Solanum lycopersicum: one gene and its partner. The protein of the gene in region 1 binds, or shares a complex with, the protein of each later gene. Links are inferred from orthologs where the notes say so. Each region holds a gene or a part of one and is shown on either strand. Other genes may lie near its edges.

Region 1 (7,822 bases):
AAATCAAATCAAACGAAAAAAATAATTATCAGTTTAGTTATTGTCGGTTTGGTTCGGTTTTGTTTGATTTGGTTCAATTTTTCTGATTTATTTGGTTTGAAAGTAATATTTCTTTAAGGACGTACATATCTCAATAGACACAAACACCAAGTACACGAACAATCTACAAAAAAGATAATGTCGATTCATTCAAGCAATTAAATAATATTAGAGTTATCATTACACGAACAAAGTGATTCATTTAAGAGAAAGTGTGTTATTTTATGTGACTTAGGTAAAGACTAAAACGAATTTTGATGGACTTGGATTTGAGATATTTATACTTGGGTTAAAGTGTTGAACTTGATAAAATGATGAAGTTAAAGACTTAAGTTAATTAAAATTAACAAAATATTTTTAATTAATTTATGAACTATGTAAATTATCCGTGCTTCGCACTGAATTGAACTATTTTCTTAGGCTTACGTATGATCATTCCATAATATTTGTATTTACGATACATAATTGGCAAAAACTTTTTATCTTAAGGTAAAGCGTTTTCTCCAAAATCTTATAGTGCTATATTTTTTAAAGAAAACTATTTTTGTTATACAAAAATAATGAGTCATATATAGATTTTAAGTATAAGAAAGAAGTATGAGAGAATCTCCCTTGAAATAGTGAACGACATTAGAAGTTCAAAAAACAGATCATAAAACGTTGACAACAACACTCCCAAGTAAATTAGAACGTCACGTTCATACAAGATCATAATTAACTAAATTCAAATAGACGATCTTGGACTTTTTTCTATGAACGTCAATCAACCTCTTTTTTATTAATGTATGTCATATCAAGTATATGCTAAAAATGACCCTAAAATTGTTATTATCATAAATATTTTTTCGTCATTGTCTCAAAATAGTCATTACTATTTTTAAGGTTTCATAACACCAGCCCCAACTTATTTGGATTAGAACATAGTTGTTGTTATAGTTATAGTATGCTGTTACAAAAAATTAATGTAATTATCAACCAAGCAGTAGGTGGCATCTGAATGTTCACAACGGGATATACTAAACCAAAATTTTGACATATAACATATTAAAATCTCACAACATAATATTTTGAGAACTTGAACAAAAAAATATCCAAATAATAATAATAAATACGATCTTAATTTCCTAACAATCAAGAAGAAAAGGCTTGTGCTTCATATATTTTTTAAAAAGATAGTTTTTCGGGTTGTGTCCAAATTTACAGTTCACAAATTTAATTGAAAGAAGCCTGTAAGAGATATTACTTCTTTATCAAAAAATAAAAAATTAATCAAAAGAATGAGTTATCACTTTAAGAAAATGATCTTTAATGATAACAAATAAATTAATTATCATTAAATATGTATTTTCAGAGGCAATTGGTACTCTGTATAAATGTCCCTAAAATCTATAACAACATTCTATTCAATGACAATTATCAATGTCGTTAAAGGTTGTAGCACTCTTTGTAAAGGTACATATTCATTGCCGATAGAAAATATTTTTGTGATAGCGTATTTTGGACATTTGTTAGTTTCACGAAAACTTTATCTTTTATTAAGCTGAAAATAGAAGAGAAGAAGAAGTATGACAAATTAGTTAACGTGCAATAAAAGATCTGGACAAATTATCTCTATACAAATATTCTAGAAAATGTATAATGGCATACAAAATGTTTATATCTAAGAAAAAACAATCAAAATAATATACTAACTGTTGCAAGCAAGAGAACAATCATTTTGATTCTTTTAACAAACTTCATCATTGATTTTGTATTACTTATAAGATATTTGTTGTTGTGTGCTCTCAAATATAGCACAACCCACAAACAATTTTTCCAAAAGTACATATAGAAATCCTCTAAAAAGGGACAAAAGAGAATATAAATTTTCAGTCTTCCTCACTAGAATTTTGAAGATAATTAAAAAAATAAGTCACAAAAATAACAAAAAAGACGTTGCAATAGATACATAAATCACTATAATTATAGTAAAAAATTAAATTTCATGATATAGAAGAAAGAAACCTTTGAGAAATGAAATACACTTTATAATAAGCATAATTAATGTATTTTAATTCGAAATAAACATACAAATAACAATGACATACATAAAAGATTTGTTTACCAAAGAACCAAACGGAATGAATTCAACCATCAACCATTTCAACAACGTTATGAATTGTGCATCCAGAGGTCTAAGAGTTGTAATGTCGCGTTGCAATTGAAATCAATTTGCTTTGTTTATATGAAGAAGCCTGTAGAAAGGGACAAAAGGGAAGATCAATTTTCAATCATCCTTGCTGACACTTAAACAAATTTTTAAAAAGGTCGCTAAACTAGAAAATTTTTTTACAATACTTAGATGAATCACTATGACTTATAGTAAAGGTGAAGATCCATGAAAACTTTCAAGAATGAAACAAACTTCATAAAAACTCAAGTCATGTATTTGAATTTGATTGTCCTATATTGAGGGGGGAAAACCTATAAATTATAGTGGCAAGAAATTCCTCTATTTATAGATAACATAGGGTAATGTGCACAAATTAGACACTTAAACTTGTATAAAGTTGAACAAATAGATACACATGTCCTACATGTCATTTTTTATCCTATGTGGTGTCTTACGTGTACTGTGTCATGTAGGACTCATATGTTTATTTATTTAAAAGTTGGATAGTTAAAGTGTCAATTTGTGCATTATGAAAGTTGGAGGTCAAAGTTAAAATTTGAAGTCAAATTTAGGGTCCAATATATGTATTATGTCTTTTTCATAAAAGTCGCAACTCTTCATAAAAGTCACAACTTTTCAAAAAAGTTACAACTTTTCCTAAAAGTCACATATTTTCATAAAAATCACAAATTTTCATTAAAGTAAAAACTTTTCATGAAAGGGAAGACTTGTTTTGAAAATAAATAATTTTAAAAAAATCTGATTTATGGTGGTGCCAAATAGGCGGACCTAAAGTTTTTTTTTTATTATATAAATGTATGATAATATATAAAATAATTATAAAATTTATATATCTAATTTATCGGTTCAGTTTAGTTATTTTTACAATTTTTGTAAAATTAAAACCAAATCAAGTAATATCAATTTTTAAAATTTAAAAATCAAATCTAACCAAACTAAATTAAATATCAAACTTTTTTTTATCAATTTAATTTGAATTACAATTTAATTTAATTGTTAAACCATAACCATAAATAGTCCTCAATATGCTAATAGTAAACTATTACTTCTACATATAGAATTATCATTGAATCACATATCAAGAAAGGCTAATGTAGTATTTAAAAAAAATATAACAATAACTAACCTTTTATTTATGAAACATCTCCTTCTCTTATAATAATTACTTTATTAAAATTATATCGTTTAGATCAATTACTCTTTATATGAATGAACCTTACTGTTAATTAATAAATAAAATCCTTCTGTTCTCGAGGGAAAAAAGAACTTGGAAAATATAAATTTTGTGCTTTTGCTCCAAAATTTTAAAATAAAAATCTAAAAAAGATTAAAAAAATCTTTTTGATAATTTCATTGTACAAGCTTGGCAAACAGGGTTTAAGAGAGGTTTTAGGGTTTCTTCTGCACTAGTTCTTCTTCTTCTTCCTTTTGTTCACAAAATCAGAAAAAAATGAGAGGAATACAGTTATCTTTCAGCAACACCCAAAAGCTAAGATTAGAAAAAGCATTAGCGCAATTGGAATCCTTTTCTTCGAAGCTTAATTCCAATGCCACTGTCATTGTTGCAGACAAAATTCCAGTCGACGAAGATGCTGCCCTCAAGTAAGTAGTTGGGGTTCTTCTATATGAATCATTTGTATCTACTCTACAACCCCTTTTTGTTCAAATTAAGAAAATAGGTGTTGATTTCATTTTTCCGATTTTTGGTATCTGACCCATTTTTGTTTGTTGAATGAAGAGGACATGGGACGTTGGAGATGGGCAATGATGTTGTTGCAAGTGTATGTGGAGTGGTTGAGCGGGTGAATAAGCTTGTTTATGTTAGACCTTTAAGGGCCAGGTTTAGTGTTTAAAGTTTGAATTTTTGTTGATTTTAAGCTTGATTTTAAGGTGAAAAAAGGGTTCTTTTTAATGTAGGTATAAGCCGGAGATTGGTGATATTATAGTCGGCCGCGTTATTGAGGTGAGTCTGATTCCCTGCAATGAGTTTCTTGTCAAGTTTGCTTCTTTCATGTTTAGGTGTTTCATTTGCTGCTAGCTCTTACATCGGTTTCTTCCAAAAATATTGAAAATTGAGTAATCTTTGCTCCTTTTATGTTTAAGTGCTTATAATTAGAAGTTTAATGCTAGTGTATGGACAATTTGTTTCTAGTTGATTGAATCGGTATTTTTGGGTAGTACTGTAGTAGTTAGAAACCTCAATTGATACGAAAGTCGAAACCTGTTGCAATGGTAAAGTTGCTCTCTTTAGTGACTGGTAGGTCATGAGTTCAAGGCTTGGAATCAACTTATTTTCAATCTACCATTTTCCCCTTACCATGCCTAACCCCGGGAGCATCTTGTTCAAAGTTCACTTAGCAAAATGCAACTCTCTCCTAATGTATCCCCAGGTAATTGTAAGGGATAGGATAGAGAGTTAAATTATTTCCGCTGCTCTTCAGGTTTTCCTAGTATGATCATAAATTCATAATAGCGTGGGTTTTTTCACTCTACCATTTGTTAGAGAAATATATTAGCCTTCACATTAATATATGGATAATCTAATTGTGCATGCCTTTGGTGCTGAATTTCAAAGAAAGGGCACTAAGAGAACATAAAGGAAAAGAACACATGTGTCCTCCTTTTTACTTGTCTCCATTTACTTTGGCAAGAAATATTAATGTTTCTTGCGGTTAGATATATATCTAATGATTATTAATATTCTTGATGTAAAGGTTGCTCCAAAGAGATGGAGGTTGGAAATTAATTTCAGCCAAGACGCTGTACTAATGCTCTCTTCTATGAATCTTCCAGATGGCATTCAGGTTATTGTTTACAATGTCACTAAGCCCATTTGAGCATAATCTCTGAATTGATTTTGGTCCCATGATGTGATGGTTATATTTTCTGGATAATTCACTAGTCAAGATTGTGTAATTTGGAGTCCTTATTGCATCTTGTCTGCATGTAAAGAAACATTTGTAAGGAATCAGTTGAGCACCGAAATCAGGACCTCCTTTATTCTGTGTCACCATATGTACCCACTTGTGACACTGCATATTGAAATCCTAGAGAAAAAAGAGCTGAAAAGATTTTCCTATGGCTGTTTTATATCATTTTTCCAAATTCTTCAGTTTCAACCCCCTCCGCCTCTGTGGCTTAAGACCCTAGTCTATTTCACTTTAGCAGCAGGGAACCAACTTTGCTCCTCTTTGAAGAAGTCATCTCTTTAACTTCCTTTGGTAACATGAATCGAATAGCCCAATGGATCTATAAGTCCAAGATAGCATGGATTCATATGGCCTACCCCAACTTGTTTGGGATCGAGGCACATTTGCTGTGGACCTGTGGTTGTAAAGGATTCACTTCTGCCTTGGAGAGTAAGATGAACTTTGTCCAGCTTTTAACTCTATGCACAATCTCATATTTTAAAGAACACTGCTGTCTCAACATTTAAATAATTAGACCTTCATGGGCAACAAGTTTCTCCCCAATTCCATTCTCTAAATTTATCATAACAGTACAGTGAATTTATCAAACTAGTATAACTTCTATTATTGTTCAATAAATGAGCCCACTGCCTGAAGCTTGCTTAAAGAGATCTGAAGTTCCCAAGGTATTGAAACTAAAGAGTTAGAAGGGTGACATGCCTATAGAAGTTCGATCTTGACTTGTGACTCGACCTGTAGAGCAGATACAACTTTTGAAGTTTGTCCCCTGAAGCAAATATACACTTCCTTTTCCTTTTTGTTTCCCTGAATTTCTGTCATTATGTTGCATTCTTTTAGGTCTTACTTAGTCATGGTCATAGTCAAACTAAAATTAACTACTTCCTCTTATTCTATGATTCCAGAGGCGGCGAACAGCAGTTGATGAACTCAATATGCGAAGCATATTTGTGGAGAATGATGTCATCTGTGTAAGCTCCCCAGCTCCTTTGACTATTTATCAAATTCTTGAAGGGACCATTTTATGTGTGGCATCCATCTGTGGATTATGATGAATGCAATTATGTCTCGTCTGTCCTTACTGATTATATGTGCATGTCATTCTCCTTTTATTTTATTTTATTTTCTGCAAGTATGGTAATCTAAGCGAAATTGTCCATCTTCAGGCTGAAGTCCGTGGTTTCCAACATGATGGGAGTCTACACCTCCAAGCTAGAAGCCAAAAGTATGGAAAGGTGTGTTTTCATAATTGAAATTAGAACACTAAATTTTGTTTCAGAGTTATTGTTTTGATTATCAGGTTGGAAATAAGCACCTCATTTTCTCACCTTTTCCTCCTCCTACCTGTTTGACCATAAAAGCTTTGTGTGGGAGTAGGACTGGGATTCAAATTCAATCTCCACAAGGTGGGGGATATACATTTCTAGCATTCACAAGAGATTTTAGGTAGATGGATTTATGGTTAATTAAAACCATGGATTAAACTTTTCCCATTTAAAAAGCGTAAAATAATTTTGCATAATAGCTGGGATGGAGTTGCTTGCTTGTAGGAAGCAGGAAGATGATATGTCTGATGAAATTTTTGAAGTTAATCTTAATTTTCCACGGTCTAACGAGTTCTCTGTCTTGTCCCGGATACACTCTAGACGTGAATAGCACTCAATATCACTATCTAGGCGAACCAAATCCCGATATCTTAAGCATTAATTTGCCACATTTAATAAATCTATTAAGTACCCTAACAATATGATAATTAATTACAAAATAATAAGTATCTTCAAATATTAATTTAAGCTCTTGGCAAAACCCCACAGTAGACCGCATATCAGTGTTCAGGAAAGTGAGTGCAGCAATGAAGCAAAGCGATTCGAGCCTTCTACGCTTCACAGACTAGAATGAGTATGTCAGCGCTTCATCGCTTAAAGCAAGCTCTTCATTGCTTAAAGCGTGAAGCGGGGCGTTATCGCTTTTTTCCGCTTCACGCTTCCCTGAACACTGCCGCATATATTTTAAACCATGTCTATATTTCAATGGATTAAAATGAATCTGTCTGTGAATATAAAGGACAATATTAGTTAAAACCTCATGGTACAAACGGCAGAAGTTTTACTTAAGCAGATGATCTGACCATAAAGTTCGAATAGAGAATACAAAGGACCTTGACATGATCTGCATTAGATTGTTATTTTGCTTTAAATACTGGCAAGAAGGCCTTTTATATGCTGCTGATATCACCATCACATAGAGCTATACTTTTCAGTTGCTTCTCGTCATGTTACGTCTCTTTTTCTTGGGGTGGTCAGTGGAATGAAATGTGCATTTTTACCTAAGCTTTGCAATTTTTGTTTGTCCCCTTGAATATATTTCAGATTTCAGACATTAATTATCAATTTGTTTGAGAACATATGCTCTGATGATTTGGTGTTTCTAGTGGTTGAGTTCTTCTGAACAATTCTATTTTTCCTTTTTAATAGCTTGAAAGAGGGAAACTACTCAAAATCCCTCCATATCTAGTGAAAAGGCGTAAACAGCATTTCCACCATCTAGATCAGTATGGAGTTGACTTGATTTTTGGCTGCAATGGATTAATTTGGGTTGGGGAACACATTGATGTAAAAGATGTAATGGTGGAGGATCAAGTAAATAAGTCCGATCCACAGAACACCCATTCATCAAGCTTACC
Region 2 (8,079 bases), on another chromosome or scaffold:
TCTAAGATTTAAGATTTATATCTTTTGTTTGTATTGTGTCATATGAAAATGATTACTTCTACTTAATTTGGACAAATTACCAATATGAAAAAATTATCTCATATTTTTTGCATCCTTAAAAATTAAATATAAGATCTCATAATTTTCCATTAACATTATTAATCATCAGATTGTTTTCTTTTTAGTCAAGAAAAATAATCTTTTTGCTTCAATATAACAAATTTTAATAAAATTTTTGTATGTTGAACTAGTAACTCCATGAAAATTTCGTAGGGCTTGAATGGCATATTTAAACTTTTAAAAAATACAAATTCAGCAAATAGTAGGGATGGAGGTTCGTTTGATTTTGTCAAACTTTTGATTTGATTTTTATGTTTTCCTTTTTTTAATAGTGTGCATCAAATTACTTTACTTGTTCAATTTTTTTTTTCAAATTTGATTTTATTAAATTATATTTAAAATTCTTTTTTTTTTTTTTGATAGTTATGAAGAATATCAATAATGAAAATAATACTTCACAAATGAATTATACACAAGTTTGTTTGATTTAATCTTATATAAAGTCATGTTAATGTCTTTCTCTTTTACTAATTAATGTTTTGACTACTTTGTTTTTAGATACATCTCGAATTGGAGTCTGGAGCCTAAAGGGTACAAAATATTAACAAAAAATTTAAAACGGTATATAAAATTTTATATTAACCAAAACGGTAAAATCGTTGCACCAACAGCGACTTACCCCACCGGAAAAAATAAAATCGCTGCCTCTGCAGCGATTTTGCAAAATCTGATTTTTAAAAAAAATAAAATCGCTGCCTAAGCAGTGATTTATAGAAAGAATTTTTTTTTTTACAAAATCGCTGCCCCAGCAGCGATTTCTTCAAAAAAAAAAATTAAAAAAATAAAGAAACTGCTGGGGCAGCGATTTCATAAAAGAAAATTTTTCTTTTTTAAAAAAAATTAAGGAAATCGCTGCCCCTGTAGCGATTTCCTTAATTAAATTTTTTTTTTTTAAGAAATCACTGATGGGCTGCTTAGGCAGCGATTTCATTTTTAAAAAAAAATCAGATTTTTGCAAAATCGCTACCTCTGCAGCGATTTTGCTTTTTCCGGTGGGGTAAGTCGCTGTTGGTGCAGCGATTTTACCGTTTTGGTTGATATAAAATTTTATATATCGTTTTGAAATTTTTATTAATATTTTGTACCCTTTAGGCTCCGAACTCTCTCGAATTGATTTTGCCATTCCCAATAGTTGAACTTTTTTGACAACTTTGACCTTTAAAATTTTAACCATATTTTTTTTTTTAAATTACTCCCTGCGTTTCACAAAGAATGACCTAATTTGATTTGGTACAGAGTTTAATAGTATAAAAAATACTTTCGTATCGTGTGATTAAAGTTAATTTAAATGTATAAAATTGTCCTTTAATTATGTGGCCTTAAAAATACCGCATGAAAGCTAATTTTAAAATGTTAAAAAAAAAAAAAGAAATCATCAATTATAAACAGACTAAAAAAAAATTGTTATTTATTTTGAAACGGATGGAGTAATAATCATGGTGTGGACTAGTTTTGCACATCTCTCTTTTATTTTTGAAGAGAATGTTGGAATATAAAAGTAAAACTCAATCAAACAACTAAAAGGTAGCTGAATTGTTGAATGTTCACAAAAACAAAAAGAAACAAAATAAACCTAAAAAAACACCCAAGTACTACAAACATAGAACCAAAAGACAAATTAATGTTGATTGAGTTTAATTTTTTTATATTCACGCCTACCCCTAATAAAGTTTTCCCATATTTTAGCTACACATATATTTATCTTTTTTGAAAATGAAAAGTGGTAATGGTCAGAAAATTTAAAAAATTATAATATTATTTTTTTAAAAAATAACTTGATCTTTTTCTATATTCTAGTAAAAAGTATTAAAGTTAAAAAGGTAAAAATATTTTGAGATAAGTGTCAAAAACACACCTAAACTGTTCACCTTTTTAAAGTTTTTTTACCTAAGTTATTAGAAGTATGAGTTCCATACCTAAACTATCAGTTTTTAGTTTGAGAAACACACCTCAATGGTGTGTGTAATGCATTCTCTCTTTTATGTGAAAAAACTTTGACACATGGCATTCCACATAAATAAAATATTTTATCTAGATAAAAATTAAATAATAAAAAATTAATATTAGTTAAAAATAAAGATTAATATCCAAATAAAAAAATTAAATTATTTTTCTCATCTCACTCCACTATCTCCTCTACGTACCCCCTCCTCCGCGACAACCCCATCTTTTTTTTTAAAAAAAAGAATCATTTATAAAATATTTTTAAAAATTTCATATTTTAGTTTTCGCTCCGATTTTTTTTTTTAACGTTTTTTTCTTATTTTGTGTTAGATATGCACGTACATATTTTTTTTTTCCATAAAAAATCTACTAGTGTACCGAATATAACATAAACAACTAAAAAAATGTAAAAAGTCTTATGGCGGCAAGTAAACATATTTTCGATATACTTATCTAAACACTAGAGAAAAAAATTGAAAGCGTATGATTAAGTGGGATGGATAGAATTATACTTTTAAGAAAATAAAATAATATCTAAATTAGTATTTGACGAGGGGAGGAGATGAAGTAAAAAATGAAATACTTATATGAAAGAAATTCAAACAAAATAAAAAACTTTAAAAAATGGTGTGGGGTAAGAAAAATATTTTATATTTTATTTTATAAAGAAAATATTATTTCTTATAATTGTTTTTAATTTTTAATTTAACTAATACTAATAATTTATTTATTTTTTGTCAAGGTTGAATGTTTTGTCCATGTGGAGTGTGATATGGAAATTCTTTAAAATAAACGAGAGTGTTTATATTACATACCATGATGAGAGTGATATAAAAGAGAGATGTGTTTCTCAAACTAAAAAATGATAGTTTAGGTTTGAAATTCAAATTTTCAATAGTTAAGGTATGAAACTCAAAAAAAAAGTATGGTTTAGGTGTGTTTTGACACTTATCTCAAATATATTTATAAAAAGTAAAATTACACAGAAAAAATTGCTAGTAGTGTTAAAAAAAATAGGAAAAATTGTATCTAATGCAAATTAATAAATCAAATTGAATGCTGTAACCACACTTTAATTTAATTGTACCCTGTAGCAAATTGTTTGTCAGTTACCTTTCTCCCTCAAACTCTTACTCGCCACTCTCCTTCTCTCGCTCACTCCCTCTCACTTTTATACAAACACGAGTGTATAAAATGTATTTCTGTTTGTATAAAGCGAGAAAAAAATTGTATATATACATACATTTTCGTTCCCCTCTCTCCCCTCTTCCAGACCTCGCTCGCCACTCTTCAGATCTCACTCGCCACCCTCGCCTCTATCGCTTGTAAAAACAGAAACGAAATGTATAGATTGTGTTTCTTTTTGTGTAAAGTGAGAGAAAATTGTATATACACTTGCAAATACATATATCTTCGTCCCATACACTTATAATTATACAATACTAAAATTTCATTGCCCAATTTTATTTTATCTTTCTCTCTTTCTCGTTTTATACATACACAAATTATACAATTAATTTGTATACAACTGCTTTCTTTTATATATGTATAACGAATTATACAATTGATTTATTTATATATATATATATATATAACGAATAATATATATTTTTATTTGCTATACAACGTAATTATACAATTTTGGTATAACATAAAAATATAAATTTGATGCTTACTACGTGTGTGAAAGTTGCTCTTCAAATTATGCAAAATTTGAGACAAACTTTTATAATTTTTTTTGCTGGGAAGATACAAATATAAAAATAAAATCCCAAAATACCAAATGCCAAAACCCTGATTTGCTCTAAAACCTCAGGAAATTGGCACACTCCAACTATTCCAGCCTCCTTCTCCGGCCGAACAAAAATGGAGTACGTTAATCCTGAAGGTCTCCGTTTAGATGGTCGCCGTCCAATGGAGGTTTCTTGCTCTCTCATCACTAAATTTCTACCTTTTTAATCGTTATCTTCATTCTCTTATTACTTTGATTCGTCTGTGCCCGTGTTTACTTTCAGATGAGACAACTTCGTGCTGAAATAGGGGTTGTATCGAGAGCAGATGGGTAACTACTTAGACTTCTATCTAATTGCATTATTAAGTTATTCTATACGTCAATTTGTGACTAATTTATCTTTTTTGAGTTTAATTAATTGGTCTGGTGCTAAATATGGGTTAGTTCTGTAGTTAGGTTATGTTTTTGATAGGCTGCTATTTTATTGTACCTGCAACTGAGTTTGTTTACTCTGATTATTTGCAGTTCTGCCTCGTTTGAAATGGGGAATACCAAAGTCATTGCAGCAGTTTATGGTCCTCGGGAGGTAAATTCACGTAATACTCAGTCTGTTGATTTTGACTCTTTTTGGATTATGAATCAAATTATTTGTTATTTGTTGGTATTATTGTCTAGGTGAAGTAATGGTTTTTGAACTGAAAATAAAAGGAGGGAAGTTGTTTGTCTAGAAATAACAGCTTGTGTGATATTGTGTTCCATGATGGAGGGAATGTGGCTTGGTAAAACAAGATTTTTTTATGGGTTGCCTGCTAACTTTTGAAGTGTGGGGTGGTGGAAGCACGGCATATTCGATAGTTTAGTTTTTGCACTAAGTTATCTGAGAAACCTGATCAATTGGTTCTTCATTGATAGGCATGAATATGGCAAGGCAATGTGGGTCTGGCGTGGAGAAGGTTCTGAATATTTAGTATGAAATTAATTAACTTAATCCCTAGCATTAGTCAATAAATGAGAAAATAATAAGTTAATGAAATAAAATTATTGTAAAGTATAAGGTAAAAACCTATAAAGGTTAAGAGAGACAAATACTAGAAGGAAATCAACAGGAAGCCTGATGAAAGGAAAAAGGGTGCTGGAACCATAAAAAAGCACATAGGAATCGGAAAAGAATGATAGAACCATTAAAAGCATTAACGAAGCCATATTTGATATTCCTTGCTTCATGTAATTCATAATATACAAAATCCTCTACCAGCCCTGCCTTGTGAAGTTGCCTCCTAAAAATTTGATTGGATATCCTGTTGTCTTCCTCATTAAGGTTTTCCTTTTGATGCAGTAAAGTAATTAATTGATCAGCATCTGAGATCCCTATCAGCACAAAAGTGAAAAATTTGGTTAGCTTTGGTACATTTTTTTTGATAAAGTAAATAGTTTTATTAATAATAGGAAAACCTCCAGTGTACAAGCAATAACAACATACCTAGTGAAGCCACAAGTGGGGTCGGGTAGGATGTACGCAGACTTTACCTTTGTTGGGGCAGAGAGGCGGTTTCCCTTAGTCCCTCTACTCTAAGGAAGTATAATCAAAGCAGGATTGAATTTTATTAAATTTAATTGGTTAACACTTGTGTAATAAGGAGTTTCTTGAGATTGATTCAGGCAAAGTATTTTTGTTTGAGTTAATGCTCGCTGATGAAGGTTTTTAGCCTAGCAGGAAAAAAAATGGAAATAGGATACTGCTATTGTAGAAGACCTGTGTAAATTCGGACTTTGTCCGTTTTGAAAGCTTTGTCAATTTGCGAAGTACAACTGCGAATTTGTGCTTGCCTTCAGACATCTTCTCCATAATTTAGTTGGTTTGTTGTTTTTCGTGTCAGTTGGTCCTGCAGTAATTAATTTATTGTAGGAATAGTAAAAAAAAAGCAGATACATAACTAGGTTGTACCCTTCCAGTGTGCCCCAGGTGGTTTGGGCTTGGGACTTCCATGTTGGATGTCTCAAGTTTGAAACCCCTTGCCAAGGAAAGCAAGGGGTTTGCCTTATGGGTCGAGCTCGTCGCACCAAGCTTGCCTAGTGCGGGTTACCTCTCTTGTGTGGTTTGCAAGCTATTATATAGGAGCGGGGGTCTTACCTATGTGCACCCTAAGGGTAGCGGCTGCGGATTTCTCTCGTCATTAAAAAAAATATTACTAGGTTGTAAACTTTATCACAGGGACTTAAGAGGATCTTGATTCACTAGGAGTTAAAAGTTTGAAATGCATACTAGTATGTCTAAATGCCAATAACTGTCTTCAACATAGGAAGTGTTGTATAAGAAGTGTTTATCAAGGATTAGAATAAGCAGGAGGAATTATGCAAAGGATGCAATTACCATTGCACCAAAATCAATTGTTGTATGTGCTAGCACGTCAAAGTTATAGTTCTCAACGGAACTTCTGTTGCTGCTTAAAATGGATGGTGTCTGCGGAAGTTTAGGTTGAATTTTAGGATGTTGAGTGTGTAGTATGGATGCATCATTGCAGCAAACTGCCTAGAACGGCATTAAGCTCAATTATAGAAGATGACATCCAGTCCAGTTTTTGCGGAAGAAAGCTCCTAAGATACCGGATGTTGCAATTATCCACGATCAAATTAGTGCCTGTTGTTCTTGGGTGCTCAGTGCATTGAACATCCATCCAACAAGGAAAATGAGGGAAAATTTACACTTGGTGCTTTATTTTTTTGAAGTAAGACTTGTATATCACACTGGTATGCAAATTGGATACCAGTAATGTACTTTTGCAAAAAGTATCTAATCACTACCTCTGTGATCAATGATAAAGATATCAGTCTTAATTTTGATATATATAAAGGTTCATTCAAATGTCTCAATTGTTAGTTTCATCATTCAGGTTAAGAACAGGAGCCAACAGATGAATGACCAGGCACTGGTAAACTACCTTTCATGATGAATTCTTATACTGCAAGATGTATAACCTTAAAAGTGAGATGATATGATTTTACTTGTCACTCTTTAGGTACGTTGCGAGTATAGCATGGCTAATTTCAGCACTGGCGATCGCCGGAGAAAAACAAAGGGTGACAGGTGATTCCATGTTACCTTGTCAGTCTCTTTTTTCCCTTTTATTTTATGTGTTTTCAGTTTTCACCCATGCAATTATATCATCTTGCTCTGCTGACAGTTCCATTATAATTAAAATGAACTCTGCACGTGTGCTTGAAATTCAATGGACAATATTCTACAGAACTGGTGCTGGTAGAAGAAAAGTTGTCCCAACTCTGAACTGTAGCTATTTAGGGTTCAAAAGATGGAAGGCATACAGAGCACTAACGGTTGTTGGATGGACAAGCAAACATATTCTATAGGTGTTGAGCTTTTGTGGGTAGTTCGTTAGGGTGTAAGGTATAGTGACTTGTGGATTTGGCGCACGTCATGGGCTCAAACTCTGCCTCTGATACAAGCCTGGTATTTATGTGCGAAGGGTGGAGGGCTGGCTTTCCACTGAATTTTAAACCTTGAGCCATTTTTCCTTGCTGATTTCTTGGTTATTTAAAAAAGAAAATATTCTATAACCTAATGGAAGACTTTGGAGCTCTTTAAGCACTTGTCCAGCCAAGAAAGATGCTACTAGGATACTAGGATAGTAACTATAGTCTGTAGTAGAAAAGGAATTAGAATCTTAGGAATACTTGTAGTGCCCAAAAATATTATTTAATGGTAAGGCTGCATAAGACGGTTGAACAAATGTTCCACAGACAATGCAAAAATTATCTTGAAATGAAGCTAGGTAGTAAACACAGTTCAAGAATCACTAATCTTAATATGCCAACTCTTAATTTATCGTCTATAATTACCTACAATTAACCAAGAAAATTATTCAATCTATGATATTCTTTTAAGGAGAAATTATTCAATCTATGACACCGACAATTAACTAAGAAAAGTTATTCAATTTGTGTTACTTCTGGTTACACGATGTCTATTCGATGATACCTATGTTTTCAATTCTTAGGAGATCCACGGAGATATCTCTTGTTATTCGCCAGACAATGGAAGCTTGCATATTGACACACCTGATGCCTCGCTCTCAGGTTCGTAGTCCGCTTAATCTCTTTAACTTGAATAAGTTATGTAGTCTGACCTCCATTTATAGTTCCTTGATATTTTGCTTTTCAGATAGACATTTATGTCCAAGTCCTCCAAGCAGATGGAGGTAATCAGCACGGTGTTTAGTGTTCTATTCTTCTGTTCTTCAGAATCAATCAGAAATTCGGAATAGATA

Evidence for each region.
Region 2: exosome complex component RRP4 homolog (region 1) and exosome complex component RRP41 homolog share a complex: the UniProt entries of both Arabidopsis thaliana proteins name them as parts of the RNA exosome complex. The link is inferred for Solanum lycopersicum from reciprocal best matches to the Arabidopsis thaliana genes RRP4 and RRP41.

What each region holds. Positions count from the first base shown.
Region 1 is NC_090808.1:63,091,606-63,099,427, forward strand, and holds the start of exosome complex component RRP4 homolog, read left to right. Parts: upstream 1-3,395; 5' UTR 3,396-3,662; coding exon 3,663-3,814; intron 3,815-3,950; coding exon 3,951-4,052; intron 4,053-4,129; coding exon 4,130-4,175; intron 4,176-4,926; coding exon 4,927-5,016; intron 5,017-6,044; coding exon 6,045-6,110; intron 6,111-6,305; coding exon 6,306-6,374; intron 6,375-7,613; coding exon 7,614-7,822. UniProt on the Arabidopsis thaliana protein: Non-catalytic component of the RNA exosome complex which has 3'->5' exoribonuclease activity and participates in a multitude of cellular RNA processing, maturation and degradation events.
Region 2 is NC_090800.1:82,540,305-82,548,383, reverse strand, and holds the start of exosome complex component RRP41 homolog, read left to right. Parts: upstream 1-3,745; 5' UTR 3,746-3,930; coding exon 3,931-3,984; intron 3,985-4,079; coding exon 4,080-4,126; intron 4,127-4,321; coding exon 4,322-4,382; intron 4,383-6,687; coding exon 6,688-6,726; intron 6,727-6,813; coding exon 6,814-6,881; intron 6,882-7,809; coding exon 7,810-7,888; intron 7,889-7,973; coding exon 7,974-8,010; intron 8,011-8,079. UniProt on the Arabidopsis thaliana protein: Non-catalytic component of the RNA exosome complex which has 3'->5' exoribonuclease activity and participates in a multitude of cellular RNA processing, maturation and degradation events.